Drosophila melanogaster: one gene and its partners. The protein of the gene in region 2 interacts with the protein of the main gene of each other region in a pairwise test. Each region holds a gene or a part of one and is shown on either strand. Other genes may lie near its edges. The genes, in order: HHEX, Pits, Mps1 and CG3225.

The links.
Region 1: the proteins of Pits (region 2) and HHEX interact in a two-hybrid assay, tested with the Drosophila melanogaster proteins (one large-scale study listed by BioGRID).
Region 3: the proteins of Pits (region 2) and Mps1 interact in a two-hybrid assay, tested with the Drosophila melanogaster proteins (one large-scale study listed by BioGRID).
Region 4: the proteins of Pits (region 2) and CG3225 interact in a two-hybrid assay, tested with the Drosophila melanogaster proteins (one large-scale study listed by BioGRID).

The regions. Positions count from the first base shown.
Region 1 is NT_033777.3:21,076,111-21,082,988, reverse strand, and holds HHEX (hematopoietically expressed homeobox), read left to right. Parts: upstream 1-2,062; 5' UTR 2,063-2,305; coding exon 2,306-2,795; intron 2,796-5,593; coding exon 5,594-6,075; 3' UTR 6,076-6,127; downstream 6,128-6,878. Other genes in the region: dmrt93B (doublesex-Mab related 93B), read right to left, coding at 6,191-6,391, 6,657-6,878.
Region 2 is NC_004354.4:12,579,826-12,585,188, reverse strand, and holds the start of Pits (protein interacting with Ttk69 and Sin3A), read left to right. Parts: upstream 1-1,995; 5' UTR 1,996-2,638; coding exon 2,639-3,617; intron 3,618-5,363.
Region 3 is NT_033777.3:17,669,229-17,674,778, reverse strand, and holds Mps1 (monopolar spindle 1), read right to left. Parts: upstream 3,509-5,550; 5' UTR 3,409-3,508; coding exon 3,212-3,408; intron 2,930-3,211; coding exon 1,922-2,929; intron 1,859-1,921; coding exon 1,303-1,858; intron 1,231-1,302; coding exon 973-1,230; 3' UTR 951-972; downstream 1-950. Other genes in the region: CG7523 (uncharacterized protein), read left to right, coding at 3,982-4,124, 4,242-4,374, 4,437-4,713, 5,153-5,382.
Region 4 is NT_033779.5:4,814,688-4,820,091, reverse strand, and holds CG3225 (uncharacterized protein), read left to right. Parts: upstream 1-1,846; 5' UTR 1,847-1,925; coding exon 1,926-2,054; intron 2,055-2,118; coding exon 2,119-2,210; exon of another isoform or gene 2,211-2,276; coding exon 2,277-2,370; intron 2,371-2,428; coding exon 2,429-4,150; 3' UTR 4,151-4,176; intron 4,177-4,200; exon of another isoform or gene 4,201-4,234; 3' UTR 4,235-4,309; coding exon of another isoform or gene 4,310-4,412; 3' UTR 4,413-4,468; downstream 4,469-5,404. Other genes in the region: CG15629 (uncharacterized protein), read right to left, coding at 4,310-4,412, 4,469-5,069, 5,205-5,322.

The DNA of each region.
Region 1 (6,878 bases), on a different chromosome or scaffold from region 2:
ATATATATATATATATATATGTATTGAAACCTACAGCTTGCGAGGCGATCGAATAAAGTTATAAATGTAAAATGAAGTTGGAAACAATATCGACATCTTGTCATCGAAACACATGCCCATTGGAGGGGATTACAAATTCAGCCGGTTCTTTCTTTGCTGTTATTAATGCGTGCCACAATTATTTATGCCCAATTTCGAAGTCATTTCAAACCGTTTGTCTCCTGATAATTGCTAATAATTTAGCCTCACTTGACGACCATAAGCCCCCCAGGCCATGGCTTCTTATCGAGCAGTAGGCCTCGTCAATGTCTCGAATTGGTCGCATTTAGTTATCGCATAGCACCGAAAAACGATTTTATTTTTATCACCATTCACCATTCATTATTAACTATTCATTATTATGTTATAATTTGTTTCTGTAAAGTACAAAATACTTTTTGAATGGTCATTACTTACCATTGAGAGCTTCCTTCTGACCAACCATCAGACCCCCGAATACTCTATTCGAACCATTCATGTTGATAAATTTGAATACTCACCTTGTGATATGTCACAAAATGGCCGTCAGTTGGGTTTTTCGGGTGCAAAACGTTATATCGATGGGATTTTGTCGGGGATCACACAACTGACTATCAGTTAGCAGAGCAACAAGTGTCTGCTCATGATGAAGCGTCGAAGTGATATGTCCGGGGATTACAAGTGCACTCGGTAGCATGTTGTATGGGCTTCCTTTCCTTCATATCTTGGAAAGCAGGCTTTGCATAAATTAGTTTCCTAAATGTTTTAATCTCTTTTTCAGTCAAGGTGCTTTCCATTAAGGTATATCAATTATTATGCGAACAGAAACATAAAATATAATATATGTATGATGTTCAAAGAGTTATTTTTAAAATTTTGATGTCATAAAATTTTAATCACCAATCGATTGACTGTAGTTTACTGCCCCTTTTCAACGAAGAACCCCCGAAAATTCTATTTGCAATTCATTAAATCACTTTTCAGCGAATCATATCAAAAGAAATAGGTTTATTGCCAAATATCACATGAATTTGAGTCATTGTCATATGTAGTGAAGTCATACAGTTTCGATTGAACTCCTGCCAATTTAAAGTAGTCACCATTTAGCAAAATCACAAAACTTGAAGAACTTTTAACTCTTTACTTTCTACTCATCGTGTGAACCGAAGACATGATAACATCCTTTCCACCAGCGGAAACTAAAGATTTTCATTGTTCCCGAAACTCGTCGAGGCCCAAAACTTATCTCGAAGGTACCAATTTCTGGGGCGACCTGAAAAACAACATCAAAGGGGTATCTATCAGTAACAATAACAACAATTAAAGGCATTTATGGGCTGTGCGTTTTCCATTTTATCACCCGGCCCAAGCCGAAATCAAAAGTAATCCATCATCTGAGAGGCTTTACGAGGAGCCCGAGTACAACTGATAAGACACCCCGAAACACCTATCCATGCCCCAGGTATACAGACGCATATATTGTTCCCAAAGAGCAGAGAGGGACGGCACCATGGCCGAAATCATAACACAAACTCGATTACTCAATCAAAGCGATGGCTCTCTGATGGTGTTGGTAGGGGGTAGGGTGGGGGGTGCCTTTTGGGGCAATTTTAATTTGTTTACAACAACAATCAACAGAGTAAAATAGCCAAACAGTAGCTGAGAGCTGAAACCAGGTAACGATACCGATAAGGGGTGATTAACAATTACTCGATCAAACGCACCGACCCGCCGAGTGGGAGGCGTTCTGGGGGAGGGTGGTTGGGTGGTTGGGTGGTGGGTTCGATGGGTTGGCAGCTCAATAAGCGGGCGAGCAGGGACTGTGATTTATACAACGATCGCCGATTGGGTGTCCAACCGCGTACCGATGTCGAGCTGTCGCCGCCTGCAATTGGAAATTGGAATATGGGTATTGGGTATTGGGAATAGGAATCGAGTGGAGTGGAGTGGAGTGCCATCGAGGCAGTGGAGCGCCTAACCAACCACCACTCGCTTATCAATCGATGGCCGGTAGCTCGGCACTATCTCCCATGCGCGGCATATCTACATACCGCTCTATTATTGTTAATATTGATATCTACCCATTAGCACAACATTATAGGTACAATCTATTATATTCTGTGAAATCAGATTTGGTACAATTTATAGCGCCCATGGGCTCTGCGACGGCTCCTACAGCTGGTGGCCATTAGTTCATCGCCTGCGGCCGACGCAGTCGCTTCGATCGCTCCGGACCCAATCAATCGGTATCTACAGTTCGTTACTACCGCTCTCAGAATCCACCAATATGGATATCGCCACCAAGTCCAGCAAGGCCGCCTTCTCCATTGAGAATATCTTGGAGCAGAAGAGCTCCTCGCATCGATCTCAATCGCGCAGAGGCTCCTCTCAAAGTCCCGTGGCGGTAACAGCAGGCATAGCTACTCCACACGCACTGGCCATGCCCAAGGCATCCTTGGCCACTGGATCATCCTCCGCGGCGCCTACACCCTCTCCATCGTCCGCCACCAACATCTACGATCTATCCCGCGAGGCAGCTGCCGCCCAGTATGCCATGAAGAGTATGGACTCCAGTGCTGTCCTGGCTCCCACTTCGCTGCGCTTCAATCCCATCTACCCGGATCCCGCCTCGCTCTTCTACCAGCAGGTGCTGCAGCTCCAGAAGAATCCCTCGCTCTTCATGCCCCACTTCCAGGCGGCCGCTGTTGCCGCCGCAGCCGCTGTTCAGCCAACAGCCTATTGTGATCAATACAGTCCATTTACCATGGACTGCGAAGGTGAGTACTTCAGAATACCTACTTAGTGGGGTTAACATGTATTTTAGTTGGGTGTTGAATGTCCTAAAAGATAAAGATTCATTTTCAAGATAATTGCTTAATTTTTGTGGTAATTTATGATAAATCATTCACTAAAATAAGGGTGCATGAGGAGAAGACATTACAAATTTATTATAAAGTTATGGTATTTCCACAGAGCTATAGAAAAGGTATAGAAATGAAATATTAAATTATATGCAATCTAATCTCAGCAAATTCAAAAGATTGTAAAGCAGTTATAAGGCCAAGAAGTATAGTATATTTATTCGACATTATGAATGAAGACAATACAGCATTTCTTTATTAAAAAAAATTCTAGAATAAGATCAAAATTATTCAATTATTCGAGCTGTATACATACATGCAAACGCAGTTGAAACCCTTAGGTCAAGTTATTGACAAGCTCATAAAATAATTGACTAATATATTAATTAATGCGGTTTTGAGAAATCTATTAGCCCAATGATGTCTATCAACAATTTAGTCGTTTGACCTCATTAGCATATTTCATCATACTATCAAATGACCGGAAATGAGTCACCTGAATATGAATGAATAAGCGCTACAATTATCAATTAAACACTAAAATGCAGATAAAGGCAGAAGCATTCTCAGAGTATGATATGTTAAATCCCTATTCTTAAATTCTTATTCATGAAGCTTGGAACCATAGTTTCTATTAGACTTTCTCACAGTTTTTAGCAAAGACTAGGATTGATTCGACACTACCAAGTTCAAGTCATTGAACCTACCCATGCTGACACCTTAATCTCGCTCATCAAGTTGACACATGGAAATTGATCGCCATGGGAAAGGTGTTGCCTGAAATCCCCATTTAAATACCAAATATCTAAGCTAGCCTAAGTCCGAAGTGCCCGGACCACCGAATATTACAATGGGGATCCCACACAAAATGGGCCATAAACATGATTAATGTGTGTGTGTTGTGGTGCAGTTGGGTATTTGTCAAAGTCAAGTGTTGGCGCCAATGCCACTCGAAATCACATTTTCCCCGCCCCAAAAACTGCATTTCCCGGTTGGTTTTCTGGGCGGTGGTGTAACGGTAGATTAGCCCTAGCAATGCTGATAAAGTCAAAGTCCCGAATTCCATCCCCTCGCAGTACAAATGCCCCATTCAGATCGGAAAATATTTCGGTGGCTTATCAGAAGTGACAAATATTTGAAATTCAGGTGAGAGACAGCAGAAACTATATCTATGGATATTTAAGTGACAGTTAGTTTTCATTGAAAGGCATTGAGCTGTTGATTTGGGAAAATCGAGCTGCTGCGAATTAGACGGACTGTGAGAAATCATACTCATTTAAACCTTTGGATAACACACAATTATCACAGGCAGTATCTTTCGATATAATTGTAGTGAAATAGGAAGGAATCAATACAACATTATAGTGGAATGGAATATCTAAGTGCACCTTTCTGTTCCCAATATGCCCGTCTTGAGGATATATCTATGATGAGTCCAACTGAGTTAGGATCATACTACGCCTCAAAAAAAAAAAAGGAGTATTGATTAGCTTGCTCTATGCCATACTGATCACACAATGCAGATAGGAGTATCGTCGTGTATAGGGCACTTCAACTGTACTGCTATCCCGATTTCCGATTTGTTTGGCTTATCTAAACAAAAATGCTATTAGAGGCGATTAATAGGCGCTGTCCATCATCTTATAGCCACGATTGCCATTTGATTACGATAAGCCCGTCCGTTCCCGACACTCGTTCCACCTGGACAAGGGGCAAATGGTTAGGGGCGGAGGCGGGTGTGGTGGTGTTGGCGACAAGTACCTGATATGATATTATTCCTTCAATCGGACACGCACATTATAAAATAATAACAAATCCAATTTTCAGCGATTAAATGCCGCTGGGAAGAAGATAAGGGTGCTCTGCGGCCTTATCACTCCCGAATACGCCACTTAATAAAAATAAACATGAATAAGTCTATTTGTAACGATTTAAATTATGGCATCTGCAATCGGATGTTATTTATTTAATGGCATTTGGCCATTTCCAAGGGTTCTTGGCCAGATCGCCTCACCAATGAGGTAACTGGGTCCCCAAATATCAGCTTAGTTCAGCGATGGAGCACACTCCAAATATGCGCCAAGTGCGAATTTCCGTTACCTTAACTAAAAAAAAAAAAAGAGGCCACCTTCCTTATCACATAGGTGTATGTACATAGGTGCAGATAGGTTCGCAATCGGATTGCCGTTCGGGTGCCAATTGATTTCGCCCAATTGCTACGAAATCTCGGCGTACAGTCGATCCATTTCGCAATGGCCACCATTCGCAAGTCGTCATCCAGTTACAAGTGGGCGTTGACATATTCTCCGATACTGATACAACACCCATACACTTGTACCACTCGCAATTGTTGTGTCCGATTACTTTGATAAGAGCGGGTGGGCGGAGATAGGGAAAACCGGGCCAATGGAGCCACCAATCACAATCCAATGATTGCGCCACTTTATATCGGGCAGATGGTTCAAAATCGTTATTCAAAGAAATCGATTGTCCTCGACTTTTTCATGGCAGCTTTTGATAAACTCTGAAGTGGGTCTATAATGTCATTAGTTCTTTAATTAAGATCGTATTAACAATGAAATATTTAGTTTAAATATTTCTCATCTGATATAGGAAACCCTTGTTCACAAAGTGAAGTGTTAACAATAAGTTAGTTCTGTAACCTCTTCAGCAATTGTAATCTAAAACAAACTGTCTTCCTTTTTAATCCATAGGATTCCCCAATCCTGCCTCCGCTGCAGCCGCCCTCTACTGCAATGCCTATCCGGCGGCCAGCTTCTACATGTCGAACTTCGGCGTGAAGCGAAAAGGCGGCCAGATCAGATTCACCTCCCAGCAGACCAAAAATCTCGAGGCTCGCTTCGCCAGCTCCAAGTACCTGTCGCCGGAGGAACGGCGTCATCTGGCCCTCCAACTCAAGCTGACCGACCGCCAGGTGAAGACCTGGTTTCAGAACCGGCGCGCCAAGTGGCGACGAGCCAATCTCAGCAAGCGCAGTGCATCCGCCCAAGGACCCATAGCAGGCGCTGCCGTGGGATCACCCTCCAGCGCCTCGAGCAGCAGTGTTCCCGTGTTGAATCTTGGCAGCGGAAGCAGGTGTGGCCAACAAAGCGACGAGGAGGATCGGATGTATCTGTCCGAGGACGATGAGGACGACGACGAAGACGAAGGCGAGGCGGATGAGACGCCCAAGTGAAGCTAGAGGATGGCCCATTGACTCATAAGTTAGTTTAGCTTGTAGTTAGGATAAATAAATTTATTTTATTAGAACTATAGTTATGCGAGTTAGTAAGTACTAGATGGGTGGTCTCCTAGTGGAACTGGTAGCTGTCCAAGCAGGCGCAATTGGGCAAGGTGCATCTTGGCGCCAGATTGGAGAGGTGACCCATGGTCACCGGAAAGGATAGCGGCACAAACCACTTGGGGTACGCACAAATGGCCGCTGCCGCCGCCGCTGATGCACTGCCTCCAAAGACCGGCGGCTTTAGCTCCACCACCGATTTGCTCTGGTACTGAAAGGTAAGATTTTGTATGTACTTAAATAAATATTTCATTAGGTACTTCCTACTTCCATGGACCACGCAAATCGTGACTTGATTGAATTCTGGAAGCGGAAATACAGACCGTTGAACTTAAGTAAAAACACAAAACACCTGTTACAGATTTGCTGTATACTATAGAATATAATACTATAGAAATAACCGGTATATTCACTTAAGTACACTTATAACTAAAAGGTACTTTATACAATTTGCACTATGCAGTTAGGTCGCTTACCTGATCTGTTATCACGGGCCTAAAGGCGCTGCTCCTGGGCGGCGCGGGCTGTGGCATAGTGGTCAACATGCCCGGCTCCTGGCTGGGCAACTGGTTGCTGGTGACATCCACTGGCGAGGACTTGCCAGTGGGCGAGACATTCTCAATGGCCCGAATCAGATCGAGATCGCAGCGCTTGAGGACCAACTCCAGGACAGATCGCTTACGCTGCGGAAAGAGCTG
Region 2 (5,363 bases):
TGGTTTAAATATTTTTTGATAAACAGCGTATATAAATGTATTTGTATATCTATTCCATAATTATATAGATAAACGTATTCCATGTTAGTGCTTAAATCTAATTTATTATTTATCGATTCTCGACCCATTCACCCCGTCCCCTCATTCCAAGAACAATAATTAACAATGCTAAGAAACAAACTTTTTTGTATTGACGAGAATAAGTCTAACTCCTATAACTAAATATATAAGAATGTTTTTGCTCAAAGGCAATTTTAGTTGTAATTGATACGAACAGACATACAAACACACACACACGCTAACTGTTATACAAATGAAACGCACACGCTCAAGCCTAATACTGTTATACTGTGTACTTTATATAGCCATTATATACCTAAACCTATATACATATAGGATCGAAACGCTTGCAATTAACTGCTTACATAAGACATTTGAGTCGGGCCCTTGTTATACGGACGTATGCCAGTAGAACAGTGGCCGCGCCGAACCGATCTAGCATTTAACTATCTATATACAACAAATATGTGCGATATTTTTTATATGCAGCTAATTTAATGTGTTGTATTTTGACCCCACACCACCTTGTAACTACGTTTATACGCCTGCTTTTCGAAAATTGAGTAACGCTTATAGAATTTTCGATTCAATTCTTTATGCCTTTTAACAGTTGAACATATATAATCAGTATAGCAACATTTTCTACCCACTTGTAAATAAGTTTATAACTAATGCAGTTTTTGTTGCCTACTTATTCGGGAGTCGAAAGGTCTGTAATTACAAATAAAGCTTGTGTATAAACGTAGTTCGTAGATTCTCTTTTGATTTTAATCTTAAAACATTTTTTGTTAATAAAAGAGGAAATTAAAAAAAAACTTTTAAACTTTCTAGTGTCTTTATTGTGGAATTTTAATTTTGTGGCAATTTAAAGAATATTTTTATATCTTTAATTGAGCCAAACATTTCATAAATAAAATCTCAAATGAAATGTTAAGAAGCGAGTACAGTTGCGCGTGCACGGACATAAACTTATGGCCGGGACTGTATGGAAAGGTGGGGGTGTAAGGAAAGGACCCCGTTTACGAGGTCGTTGCTTGTTCGTGTGTTTCTGTATCTGGTGGCTCCTTTTTCCGCATTTCCTTTTAACAGGATGTACGCACAGATACGGAATTTGTCCCAGACCATGGTCGGGAAATCGATTCAGGCCAAACGCCAGGAATACGAACACCCAAGCATTTTCGCCTATACATATGTACATATATGCAACGATATGCATACACATACATGCTTGCAGTTTGTGGTCCTGCGCAGTGCTTTACGGATGTCCTTGTTTTTTTTTTTTTTTTTGCTAGGAATGAGGGCTTTTAATTTCATTAACAGTTACAGAGCTCTGTTAAGTCAGCTGTTCGCCGAGCGAAAGAGACGGAGCATACCAGATTCAAGGTCTACATAACTGTATCCTATGTACATACGTTCGGTATCTATACGAAAAACGGATGTGTATCCACGAACTTTACATGGTATACTTACAGGCGGACTTTGGGGGAAGGACTTCGTCACTAGATTCCGTTTCGTGAATATGACGTGCAGGCACGTACGCTGGCAGGGTCGTAGCCCCAAAGGGGGTTAAAAATAAAAATAAATATTATTTTTAATTACTTAAACAGCCAAAAGGGTTTATTTTTAATATTTGGGCGTAATATTAGGAGCAATATATTAAAAGCTATATATATTAATACGAAATAGTAGAATTACTATGCTCAAAATGATGCTAAATTTTAAAGAAAATTTAAAATTTCCTTAGCTTTATCATGGTTGAAGTCTTCGCTACAGTCTCAGCCACTTTGGCAACCCTGGTTGAAGTCCACTGAAAGGTTCGTGTCTCTGATATAAGCCAGTATTTCAGGTATTTTCTTGGTATTTCCCATTGCGGCAGCGAAGATTTTTTAGTACATTTCGCTTGGCCCCTGGGGTATATTCTCACATACCAGCCAAGGCCACACTCTATCAGCAAGCTGTGTGGCGTCCGGTCGCTTTTTCAGTCATTCGTTGCGTCGCTGCGATCTCATCGTTCGTTTTGTTCCTACACGTTTTTGGCGTCGTCGTACATTTACGTGTCCCGCTTACTCGCGCGCACCCTCTCTCTTTCACTCTGCGGCGCGCGTGCCTAAGTGTGGTGTGTGGTGTGTGTGCCTGTGTGCGTGCGTGTTGGCGAGCAGCGCGGCGCAGCACAATAGAAAAGAAGAAGAAGAAGAAGCTGAAGCTGAAGGAAAAAACATAAGTGAATTTTTTTCGGGTGGAAGCGCGGTGAAATATGCGTGCGTGCGCGCGTGTATATGTGCGTGTGTGCGAAAATCAATACGAAAACATGAATAACAAATGCTAAATAAGAAAAATAGCTACAACGCACAACCGAAAAGAAGCTGAAACAAGAAAAAAGAAAGCGAAAAAAAAGGAGAAAATAATAAATAATAGGAATTGGGAATCCAGCAGGAAGGAACAGTTAGCCATTCCAGTGAGCTAAAACAGCACAAACCCATTTCCAGATCCAGCCCATCCAGGGCTTCCAATTGACAGTTGCCAATTGACAGTTGACAGTTGCTAGTTGCCAGTTGACAGTTTCCAGAAACGCAGCAGGATGTCGCTGCAAACGAAAAGGCAGCACTGCTATCTGTGCGATTTACCCCGCATGCCCTGGGCGATGATCAATGACTTCTCGGAGGCGGTGTGCCGCGGTTGCGTCAACTATGAGGGCGCCGATCGCATCGAGGCGGTGCTGGACGCCGCCCGCCAAATGAAGCGTCTCCATCCCGCCAGCAAACAGCAGCGTTCCCATGAGAACGGCGAAGTGTCCGCCGCTGCAGCGGCCGCCGTCGTCCTACAGCAGCAACAACAGTTACAAGTCGGTCCAGTTCCGGGACAAGGACCGGGTTCCCATCGCGGCGGAGGTGGCGGCGGTCCACCGGGTGCTCCGCCCGGAAGTGGTGGTCCAGGTCCGTCGGGCGCCGGTTCGCTCAGTTCGCTGGGCAATGCCGTTGCTGCTGCCGCCGCCGCTGCTGCAGTGCATCATCACCATCAGATGCCCTATCAAATGCCAGTGCCACGCATCGGTCCGCCACTGGACTATCCCGTTAAGCTGGAGGATGCCCCCGGTGGCGGCGTACGACCCGTACGCATTTCACACATGACGCCCCACCACCTGCCGCCAAATGCGACCCGCGGCGGTGGCGGTGCACCCGGCGGCGGCGTACCCACCGCCGGCAGTGGCGGTGGCAGCCTACCGCCCGCCCTATCCGTGAATTTAAAGCGTCCGCCCAGCGAGGATGTCGATGTGGATGTAAGCCAGCAGCAACAGCAGTCGGGACACGGCCTGGCGCCAGATGGCAGTGCTGGCAACTCCCTATCCGCCGGCGGAGGCGTATCCGGCGGTTGTCCGCCCGGCATCAAGCGCAGCGCCATGGACGATCCAAGTGGCGTGGGCGGCAGACCGCCATTGACGCGTGGCGAATCCCTGCCAGCGGCGGTCAGCTATGTGCCCGAGCGTCAGCTTAGCGGACTCCGTGATAAGCAGCAGCCGGTCAGAGCGCCCAGTTTCGATGCATCGACCTTCAAAGCAGGTGAGCAAACATGACATAGATCATTCAAAATACTTGGCACAGTGGTTACCCAATAGAAAGAACTTTGCTGCAGCAAGTAATGGGAAAATTTTTCATTTGCAGTAGGGATTCGGGAAAAGCAGGAGTAGTTTCAACTACCTTGAAAACTACCTTTCATAATAATTAGAGTAAAGTGATCAGAGTCTCAAAAGTGCCGCGTTGATAAATATTTGGCTTTATAAATGATAGTACAAAACACTATCTATCGTGGTGGAAAACAGATTTGGGATAATCCCCTATCAGTGATGGATTTCTTATCACTTATAGCGATCGGATCGAATCGCCAGTGGGAAATACGCGATATGGATTAAAAAATGGAGTGACCAGGGGGATGTTGTTTCCCAGCCACAGTGAACACTTGATATCTTCTAAAGTATATTTTATCAAAATATTTCAAATACAAAACTCTTCGAGGGGTGATATTTCAGTTTGCTTTGATAGCCAATGTCAAACAAAAATAAAAACTTGTTTAAACAAACAAGTGAGTTAGAGGAAATTTTTTTTTGCTAATTTCAATCTAAGATTTGCTGGATAAAATTAAACACTATTTTATCCTCCGGAAACATAGGAAATTTGCTTAAATCCTAAGTTTGAAAAAGTTGGCGGCCACTGTATTTGTTTACCGTTTCTTACCAATCCCCCGCCTTTTTTTTTTTAATATGAGCCGTGATCGCGGGATACAGAGCACTGTTTCTGCCTCGCTCTAGCCTGGATGTGGGTGGAAGGTCGTGGTGGGGGAGTGGGAGGAAGAGAGGCGGCGATATAGTGGCACACATACCGCTTATTCAGGGCAGAGTGAAACGGCGTGATTGCCTGCTCCTTATCTCTCCTTACTGGAAGGCGAGCTAGAAGAAGACTGCGCTTCTCATGTATATGCACGTACACATTTACGTTTGCATGGATGATAAGGAGCGTTGTGTTGGAGATTAGATAACTCATTTGCTTATCAGCGCGTCCTTATCGCCACCCAATGCGTATGTATAACTCACACATACACGCATACGTGCACATGCATGCATGTACATTCAAACAGAAAAAGAAGCGTATAAACGCATTTTGCAACCCTCTGTGGAAAAAAGGGGCTGCTAACCCTTGCCATTAAAAGGCATGCGCACATGCCAATATACATATAGGGAATATACATGTGCATGTACCGCGCAGACACACACGCGCACACAACTACGTGTTCGTTTACATGCACGTACGTAACAGTCGCAATGGCAATAACAAAAAACGGCGAGAAAAAAAAGCGCAAAAAGCACACGAAAAAAGGGCCGCAGAATGTAATATAAACAGAGACGTGCAAAAATCGTCGACGCTGACGTTGTAATGTTCTCGCTCTCTATCTCTTTCTCCCTCCGTCTTCTGTCGCTTTTCTCTTCTTTCCAAACTGGTTTCGTGCGCTGGTGTTGGTGTGTGTACCTTTTGTTTTTTGTGTTTTTTCTTTCTTGTCTGCGCGCGCAAAACGTCATTAAACTTGTTTTGGTTTTCGCTGCTGCTTCTTCTGCTGTTTCTCCGTTTTACGCTATGCGATAACAAGTTGCACACACACACACATACGCACACAGTCGAACCTGGGTGTAGATAAATTTTAGTTGGTATACGAATTACGGAACGAGCTGCAGTGACAACAACAAAAAGAGACACTAAAGACAAGATGAAAAAAAAACTTTTTCGCTCATACCGATGCCGTCATCAAACAGTGGG
Region 3 (5,550 bases), on a different chromosome or scaffold from region 2:
CAACGACGATAAACTGACAAGCAACCGCAGAGTTTGTCCAACTTCCAAAAGAACAGCAACAGTAAAAAAGAAACAACTCTAACAATCTATTAAGTTTAAAGTTAATGTAACAAAAAAAAAAGGCGAGAAAAAAGTAAACCTAAAGCATGCCCCACAACAGCAACATTTAACATTTTATAGTAGCGAGAACCAACAATTATGAGAATGAAGAACTATGGAACGCTTTAAGAAATTATATACACATAACTAAAGCAAGATAATGATAACAATCGAAACTTGTGCAATGTTAAACGAGAAGAGAAGAAATGCTAGCAAAGGAAAAGTCCGACTCTGATTACAGAAACAGGCAATTTCCACCCAAGCCCTCCCAATAAAAAGCAAACCAACCCGGAAAAACCGCGAAAAATCCATTGCTGCTGCTACTTTCTAATTATTATTTAACACATACTTTGCATGCGATTATTATTTTTGTGTTACACTTGCATTTAAAAACGCGCTTTAAACAATTGTATATGTATCTTATGTTAAGCAAATGAATTTAAAACCCAGCTACTTAAAATGCAAATCCACAAAAAAATAAACAAAATAATAGTATGAATGTACGTATGCTCTTGTACTTGGGCCATTGTGAATTTTGTATGTTTTCCATTCATGTTTTCTGTTTTTGTGTTAACTTTTAATTTTCCGCCGCCAGGCAGCGCAAAGTATTTAATCCCAGGAAGAGCAAATGGCAGCAGCAACATTTAATTAAGCGTAAATAAACAAGAAAACAACTATTTTTATATAAAACTGAATGAGAACCTATCTTATAAGTAAACGCAAATTAAACACGAATGCTAACTAGCAATCTATTGTCGGAACCTGTTGCATGCGACATACTGAAAAATTAGGAAAACCAACAAATTCAAGCCCATCAGCAACCACAACAAACAAAAGAACGAGCTATAACAGCATTATAAGGATTTATGATGTTTAATTTACGATAAAATGAGAATTAAATATATACACACACATATGAGAAAGACATTTGACCTTTGACATTTCACTAATAAATAGCTGAGCTTTCGTGCTTAATTGCTGTTGGCGGTTCTGCTGGGTATCTGCAGGTTCTGCAGCGGAATGATCATATGGAATGGGTACTGTAGTAGTTCGGTGCACGACGGCCGCTTTTTGGGATTCAACTGTAGGCAGTTCTTGGCCATCTGCAAATAGAGCAGAGACAGTTGTAAACTTGGATTCAATTTATTTATAATTTTAGTTAGCTTATGTTAGTCTAAAAGCCTCATATTGCGCAACACTCACATGAACCAGCATGATGGGATAGTAGGGCGGAATGGCAGGATACTCGATGCTGGTGCCCGGTGTGGTGATTGCACTCATCTTGGCATAGACGTTTCGGATGTGGCCGAACGGTGTCTTTTGGTAGAGTAGCAGGTAAAGGATGCAGCCCAGCGACCACACGTCCGATTTGGTCGAGATCTTGATCTTCGGCTGATCGGCTCTGCGCATCGGGCTATTCCCCGTGGAGGTGTCCGTCAACGCCTCCGGACTAATGTAGTTAAAGGTGCCCGCCTGCGAGAATTTGATGATGCTCGTCGAGTCCACAGCGATATTGCTGGCTATGCCAAAATCGATCAACTTCAGTCTGCCGCTGACCATCAGGAAATTTGCCGGCTTGAGATCCGAATGGATGACACCGTGTTGGTGAATGTAGTTGACCGCTTGCAGCATTTGGTACAGGATGTTCATCAGGCTATAGAGAGGAAGGTTGGTGGTGTAGCTCTGCAGGATCTTGTTCAAGTCGCAGTCACCTTTCTCCATCACCATGTACAGCTTGGACTCCTCGCGCACAAGTTGACTAAGGAAAAAAAAGTACTTAAACAGTGACGTTAACAAGAAGTCAGTATTTAGAAATATTTACTAATCGTAAAGTGCCACAACACAAACGTTCCCTTGTAGCTTTGCCAGAAGTTTGGTTTCGTTTAGATATCCCTGCACCACTTGTGGATCGGCCTGCAGATCCACCACCTTCAGGGCGAACTCATTTCCGGAATCCGATCGGCGTGCCAAAAAAACAGAGCTGGAGCCGCCACAGCCCAGTTTCTTATCAATCGTATACTCATGATTCTTGATTTTTAAAATATTAGATGTCTTGTGGGAAGGCTGCTCTGGAGGTACAGCAACTGCGGGAATCGATACCAGCTCCTTTGGTTCCACATTATCCACTTTGTCTGGCACGTTATCCTTGTCCGACTCCCGGAAAACATGATCTAGGGACTTTTTGGAAGGATGCTGACTCTTTGGTGGTTCTGCCTTTTTCGGAGGCTCCGGAATGTCCGGGCTTTCTGTGATGGTGTCGCACAGGGAGAAGCTTATGCTATCGGAGGCCACTGGAGCAGCACGACTCACGGTCATAGGTGTTTGGAAGAGCACTTTCTGCGCACGGAAGTCATTGGACACCGCACTCCGACTTTTTCCCGCCAGTGTGGAACCAATTGTTCGTACTTGGGGGGTAATGAAGTCTGCATCCGGCTTCGTCTTCGAGGTGGAGGGTAATTCATTACGCAGTGGCGTCTCTGTCTCTTGGAGTGGGCGCCTTTCGGTGGCACTTGGTGCAGCTTGAAGCGTGGGTGCTGTCTTTTTGGCCACCTGTTTTTCCGAATTCGCAACAGGGGATCCTTGACTGCTGCAATTGATGCCCATGTCGTTGAATCTTCCCAGGAACGAGAGATTCGAATCGGATTGCTTAAGGGGGGCGGCACTTGGTGTTCTACGAGTGGTTATGTTGCTGTTGCTGTTTGTTAACTCTTGGGATGGGCTCAGCACAAAGGAATCGTTTAGGATGGCGCAGTTAAGGTTGTGATTGCTCTTGATGTCCTCCTCGTCACTGTCCGAATCCATCATAGTCAACTCGGACACTCGGCGAGGTCTAGAATCGATAAAAACGTTGTATGTAGAAGTAATGAACATTTCTAGGTGATCTTGTAACAAAAATCCCTCGACTTGTGGGTTAATATAGATTAACTTTTAGGGTATATACTAAGCCTAGAAGATACAGGTTAGTTTCGATGGACAGACCAATTTGGAAAGAAAAGATCTAGGATTCCTGAAAGAATTCATGGAAAATTAGATCCTTGCAGACTCAGGAGGACTTATGTATGGAGAACAGGAGATGTCATGCGATACTGGACATTGCTGTCCCAGTTCTTACAGCATATTTATGGGCAGGGGATGCGGTTCGTTCTCCTTGCCCCTCGTTTGGACTTGGAAAGACGCCACCGGCTGCTGTTTTCGTTCTCCCGCCGCCGCTTGTCGTGGTCGGTATGGCGTGTTAAAGTCGTCCTCGGAGTCGGAGTCCAGTCCCAGTGCCATCATGTCCTTGGTGCGGCGGGGCACAGGCGTGGTCATCTTGCAACCCGATTTATTCTGCCCGACAAATAGTTAAATATCCAATTGCAAATCAAATGCGGGGTTTAAATTTATTTTTTATTCAAGTGTGACCAAAGTTCAAAATTTAAAACATCCAAAGCGCGCTGAATGAAGCCTTTAATAGTTAATAAAACTTAAGTAGCCGAAGGCTAAGTTTTAAAATAATTAAACGAAAATGAGGATTTAAATAAATGTTTAATATTTTAAATTAAGAAATATTGAAAACTACCTAAATTATAATTTAGTGTTGACAACAAGCAAATATAAAAGCACACTCTTTGAGTGAGGGAGAGTGATGTATAAAATACATCAAAATGATTTAAAAGTAAGAATGGCTTAAATAAATAAATTAGATATTCAAATTCTAACAGTAAGTTTATTGTTTACATTTTAGGGTTGTCTTGTTTTTCATGGTCATCACAGAGCTGCCACCCTGAAAAAAGCAATATTTTGGCAGTGCTGCCACATCCAAGGAAAATAAGTGTTGTTTTCCTGCCGACAAATAAACAAAGCAGCAATAGTTCGAAAACTACGCATTCTAGAGCAGAGCAAATGGAGCAACCAGCAACTGGAGGCGCCGCTGTCCAACCGGGCGTGTCCCCAGCGCACATCCACGACACGGATCAGCTCCTGGACCCCGTCCTCTTCTCCAACGACAATGGAAGCTACAAGCTAAATACAGTGCCCGCATTTAGGTGAGATTTTATGCGGTGTACGGGGGAGAGACCTCAGCCGGCGGCAGTGAATCATCCATGGAGCTTTCAAACGACCGATAATGCACATAATTTAATCCATTCTCTGTCCACCCGTAGCCTTCATCTGGTTATCTCCACTGCAATCTCCATTGTGGGGATCGTACTTGCAGCCTCGTTTCCAACCGATCGGCGCTGCGATGCATACTTTATAATGCTCTACCTACGGGCCACCTTCTGGGTCATCACATATGTAAATATACCAATCAGCAGTCTGTCAATCCCGACCTGCCTCAATGTCAACGGTTTTTACAGCTCTTCGATCACTTCGTAAAGAAGCAACACGACAATCTACGCATGCAGGGCTATCACGACTTTCACCGCGAGACTAACATGCAGAAGGGGATTCCCCTTCAGCTGGTATCCCTGTGGAACTCCATGCTGCTTGCTGTCCAGGCCCTAATCCACCACTTCTATGCGGAGAACTTTTGGGAACATTGCGCCGCCGGGTGGCTGTCGCCGGTCAGCTATGTGACCGCCTTCACCGTGGCCGAGAATCTGGTGCTGGCCGTTTCCCACAGCTTATATATTGGTAATGAAGTAACATAGTATCTAGTCAGCGATAGTGAGGGAATCTACTTAGTGTCATGGTATGACTTTTATTTTTATTTTATTTTATGACAGATCGAGCTATCATCATTTTTTTAATATATCTGTGTGTATATATATTGAAATGACGATGGGCAACATTTTATTCAAATAGTTTATATAATGACATAATATAGTAGTCGGGATGGCTAGGTATTTTTTTTAAACTGATTAAGTGACTTGCAAGCAATTGTAATACGCAAAAAATGAGTCAGAGCCGCTTAAATAATCCAGGTATTTAAAATTGAAGTGATTCAGTACAGCCACTAATTAAGTTCGTTCTTTCTTATGGTTCCAAAGCGAAAGATTTTTGATTAAGAACCAAGTAATTTCAGGTATAAAAGTTGTCATAGACATGGCTAAAAATTCGTTACCCATTTCAGACAAGGTGCGTAAGTTCAACAGCGCCAAGCTGGCTCCGGATGTTTTGCGTGGTGCGGACCGCGCCGGCGGTTCCCTGGGCCTCATGCAACCAGGAGGCGACACAGAAGAGCTTCTGGAGAAGCAGGCCGACCTTATCGCCTATCTGCGTGACCATACACACAAGCTCAACCAGAAACTGCATCAAATGCAGACCAACGTGCGACCAGTGAGGGCACCACAAATTCCTTAAAGACAAATCAAATAACTATATAATTTTACGTATCATAATTTTACTGGATGTTCTCTTTTTATTCGTTTATACTTTGTTCATGGCGAAGAAATATTCTTCAAGTAGATCAATTGCAAAAATGCAAAAAATGTAATATTCAATTGTAAATACAGAGAACGAATTATAAAT
Region 4 (5,404 bases), on a different chromosome or scaffold from region 2:
GCGACTTTGCCGCCCTGCCACATGCATCATGAATCACGCAAATTCGCGGCACGCAAAGACAATGACGCCAGCCCCTTTTCGCACCACTCGCTGGGTGTCGAGGACGCACAACTCCGGCGTTTGTAATCAGGGTCGTCAACGCGAAACTATAGTTATAATACGTAGATAGAACAAAAGGAACGTACCCTCCACTGGCATTTCCAAGGAAACTTTGCTCGTAAAAGCCGGAATAACAGTTAGCATTCATGCCGCCCTTTAAGTTTTGTGGCATTTAGTCAGGTGCCCAAAGACGGGGGAATCGGAATTTGGATACCGGCAGTGGAGTGCCGACAGCCGTTTGACAGTAAAACTCTGGCCTTGGGCGCATCTATTAAAATTTATATGCAACCGAAACTGGAACTGGACGCCAAACGGACAAGATACACACTGTGCGAAAATGTGACAGCCTCCCATAACCCGCAATGTAACTAAATATTCACTTAACTACTATTAAGTGGGATAGAAGGCAAATGAAATGACTAATCCATATGCACAGCGGAAATTATTATATTTTAGTATTTGCAATTTAAGATGTAGTACTAAATACTGAAGCATCGTTCTTAACACTTTTCGAAACTATAATCTTTCTCATGTAGCGAAGATACCTCTTTACCTGTGATGCTGATATCAGCTTGAGTGGAAAGTGAAAACATTTTTTCTCAGTGCCTTTTAGTTGAAGCACTTTCCGCGGACGGCGGTGTTGACAAACTGCTCGCAGAGTTTTTGGCTTTCGCTTGGCTTTGGCGACTTGGCGCCTCGTCCTTGGCATGAAGTTCGCCGCTGGCCTTTAATTAGCTTTTCTCGGATTACTCATACGCCATGGGGGCTGGGCTCGGGTCGAGTGGAGTGGAGTGGAGCTGGGCTCCATTGTTTCAGCACTGGCATGCGGATGTGGTTGGTCAAACGTGCATGTCGGGCACGTGTTTTGCTTTGGCTTGAAATTGGTGGTTGGGTTCGGATCGCATCGGATGGGGTTAAAGTTAAAGCGAGCGTTCTTAATGTCAGGGTCAATGCAGAATACGGGGGTCCTGCATGTGTGGAATCGACGGCCATCTTACTCGTCCCAATATTGGCGGCATGCATATAATACCCACTGACGGTGCATAAATCAAAATATATACAAAAAAAAAAATACAAGCGGGCAAAACAATGTGTGTGTTTTGTTGCTCGAGAGATACAATACAATATTTATTCAAAAGCAATTGGCCGGGCGCTTCTGTCGCCGACAGCTGCACAAAACTCGGGGGACACTTTTGACACACACACGTGGCCAGGGCGACCTTATAGTACATAATGAGTTTGCTGGGTATGCAGAGGAGCAAAGTGGCCTTGCCACTGGCAATTAGAGTTATTTTCACTAGCAATAGGGGACATGTCGGTGCTGCAACGTGCCCGCAAAATGGACAAAAACATGTGCATGAATAATACAGGTGAATGTTATGGACATTTGCCACCATTGGGGCTCGTGAAATGGTCGACTAAATCAAATATATTATAATTTGTGGGTACCAAAGGTATAAGCTTGAGGTACTAGCCAAACAATTTCTAAAAACTAATATTTTGCATTTTTAAATCTTAACTAAAATATAGTGAAATTTGATTATCCTCTTTTCTTATAGACCTCAACTAGGCGACTGTATACTTAGTGATTAAGTAAATACTTAGGTTTTTGGGCAATTCAACTTATTATATAGTTGATGGTTATCGTTAATCGAAATTTCAATACAATGCAATTTCCCGCCAAATAAAAGTGTGACCATTAGTTTATATTAAACGAAATTCCTAACATTCTTTTGCGCGCTTTGGTATTTTGCACCAATGCATTGAGTCCATCAGCTGTTTATTTAATTTCAAAACTGAATCTATAACGAAGTAAATAATTGAAAATGAGCACTTTTAAGCCAAAGTTCCTAAAACCCGAGACGGACGATGCAATCACAGATAGTGCCGGTGGTGAACAGCAGTCCTCCGCCTTTGTATTCAATGTCAATCACAATATGGGACTCATGGAGCAGGTGGGCTTACAAAATATTTCGTAAACATTTGCTAGAATAACAAATTAAACTTAAATTATTACAGAGGGAACGTTTGCCCATTCGTCAGTACCGGGATCAAATACTTTACTGCTTGGAAAAGCATCAAGTGGTCATACTAGTGGGTGAAACAGGCAGGTTTGTATGGAATTCCATGAGCTTCAAAGTAATGCTTCTAACTCTGTGGTTTTTCATATTTCCCAGTGGCAAGAGCACCCAGGTGCCACAGTATTTGTATGAATGGGGCTGGCACACCAAGGGACTCATTGGCATCACCGAACCACGACGCGTTTCCACCGTAAGTAATCCTAAAGCAAAGCAACTATAAAATCTAAAACTAAAGACTTCATTTCCAGGTTACGCTGGCTAATCGCGTGGCACAGGAACGCGGCGAACTGGTAGGTGACACGGTGGGCTATGTAGTTCGCTTCCTGGAAAGCATGAGCTCCTGTACCAAAATCAAGTTCATGACCGAGGGCATCTTGCTGAGGGAAGTCCTAGCCGATCCGCTGCTCACCCAATATGGTGTTATCATCGTGGACGAGGCGCACGAGCGGAATATGCTCACCGACATGATTTTGGGACTGCTCAAGAAGATCCTTCGCAAACGCAGCTCGCTCAAGCTCATCATTTCATCGGCCACCATAGATGCAAGCTTCTTCAGCGAGTTCTTCAGCTGGCCAGGATCGGGCGAAGTGAGCGTTAAGCTAAGCATTGAAGGTCGCATGCATCCTGTGAGTAATTTCTATCTGAACGAACCCTGCGCCGATTATGTGAAGGAAACTGTGGAGACCGTCTGGAAACTGCATCAAAAGGAGCCGCCTGGCGACATTTTGGCCTTCCTAACTGGCCAGGAGGAAGTCCTGGAGGCGCTGGATCTTCTGCGCGAATACATCGCCAGTTCGGAACAGGAGAATCTCAAGGTGCTGCCCATGTATGGTAGTATGTCGAGCACTGATCAGTTGTCGGTATTCTTTACCCCGCCCAAAGGAACCCGCAAAGTGGTGCTGGCCACGAATATAGCAGAGACCTCCATCACCATTCCGGGCATTGTTTATGTGATAGACTGCGGCTACGTCAAGGTAAAATGGTACAATCCCAAAACCTGCAGTGACAGTTTGGTTATAGTGCCCGTCAGCAAGGCGTCGGCCATCCAGAGAGCAGGACGAGCGGGTCGTATGCGTCCCGGCAAGGTCTATCGTTTGTACACTAAATCAGACTATGAAGCACTAGCTCCTCGGCAGCCACCCGAAATGCGACGCAGCGAATTGAGCGGCGCTATCTTGCAGTTAAAGGCGCTGGGCATCGGGAACATATTGCGCTTTGATTTCCCATCGCCACCACCGGCACAGAATCTACTTTCCGCACTGGAGAGTCTATTTGCCTTGGACGCCATCGATGAGCAGGGCAATCTGACGAAGCCCGTGGGTTACCTGTTGGCCGAACTCCCCTTCAGCGCTATGCTCTCCAAAATGCTCTATGTTTCCGGTCAGATGGGCTGCTCCGAGGAGATCATAACCATCATTGCGTTGCTGCAGGTGCAGTCTATATTTTCGCGCCCAGCTTCAGCGGTTGCCCAACAAAGTGGACGCATTGCACATCGAAAATTCGAAGTTGCGGAAGGGGACTTTATTACGATGTTGAACGCTTACACTGGCTTCGTGGAGGAGGGCATGACCAAGGAGTTCTGTGGCCAATACTTCCTCATCTACAGGAATCTTAAGAGGGCCCACTCGCTGAGGGAGCAACTCATCACAGTGGCCAGAAAGAAGTACGGCATTCCAATCTTCTCGTGCAAGGGCGATGTGGAAAAGTTGTGCAAGTGCATCACCGCCGGCTTCTTCACACAGGTGGCCTATCTGCATCACTCTGGAGTTTATAGACAAATCAGCAGCGGCACTGAACTGGCCATTCATCCGAACTCCACTCTCTACACACTTCCTCAAGCTCAGTACGTGGTCTATGGGGAACTGCTCCAAACGACGAAATTGTTCATGAACTACGTGACCGTAATCAAGAGAGAGTGGCTGACGGAGCTGGCGCCGCATTATTACCAACAGACCACAGTGCGGGATTAGCAGGAACTAAAGCCTTAATGATAGGTGTAAGTCTATTAAAATAGTTCATTAAATCAAATAACTAAGTTTATTGTAAAATTATAGGTGAAACGATGCCGCCTCTTGAAAAAGAACTTAAGCTTAGGTAATGGATTCCATATGATGATTCCTATTGTGTGTTTAACCAGCGGCGACGCGCCCTCGTCCCTGAAACATCATCATAGACTCGGGTCCACGGATGACACGCGACATCAGCTCCCAGCACATTTTGGCGGGCAAAAGACTGAGAAAACCAGCATTAATTACATTGTATATAACTATGTTAAATAGACTACTTACCATTTGAGAGGAGTGAGCAGGCGAATAGAGTTGGGCAGCACGCACCACACCTCGTTGCAGCGCACGGCGTTCTCGATGCGATCCGCCACATACTGCGGCTCCAGCATGGGCATCATCCGCGGCCGAACACCCGAAAACATGCCCGTGTTGATGTAGTACGGGCAGATCAAACTCATTTGGATTTGATCATAGCCATGGGCCTTCAGATCGGTGAGCAAACTCTCGTGGAAACCGATGCAGGCGTATTTGGTGGCCGCGTAGTCACTGCATCCGTAGGTGCCCAGCATTCCAGTTACCGAGCCCACAGTAACGATATGACCACGATTATTGCGCATCATGTGAGGCAGAAACGCTTTCACGGTCCAGTAGTGCGATATGATGTTAATGTTGTACGTGTTCTGGATGACCCGATCGTGCAGCTCCCAGAAGGGTTTGCAGCACACGATACCGGCATTGTTAATCAATATGTCGACGGGACCAACCTCCTCGGTCACCTGGCTGGCACGCTGGTAGATCTGCTCCCGATCTGAGATGTCCACAACGTAGCCCTTGCAGTTGTCATAACCATGTTTGGCCAACAAATCCACAGTTGTCTTTATGGCTGTGCGGAAAATTATGATCAAATATTGTTTAGCTAATCAAATTGTAAATGTAACAGCTTTCACTAGCCGTCGGGTTTTTTGACCCGCCTGGCAGAAGCTGTGACGGCGTCATTAGCAACTAGGTGTGATTTTACCTTCTTGATTTATATCCCAGATGACAATGCGGGCCTGAAGGCGAGCAAAGTTTAGGGCAATCAAACGTCCAACACCACCGCCTCCTCCTGTGATGAGCACCACCTGGCCGGAGATGTCCTGTTATGGATAATAATGAACAAGCAATCGTTTATTATAATATTGAATTTCGCATACATACATATGTAAGCAAACCTATTTA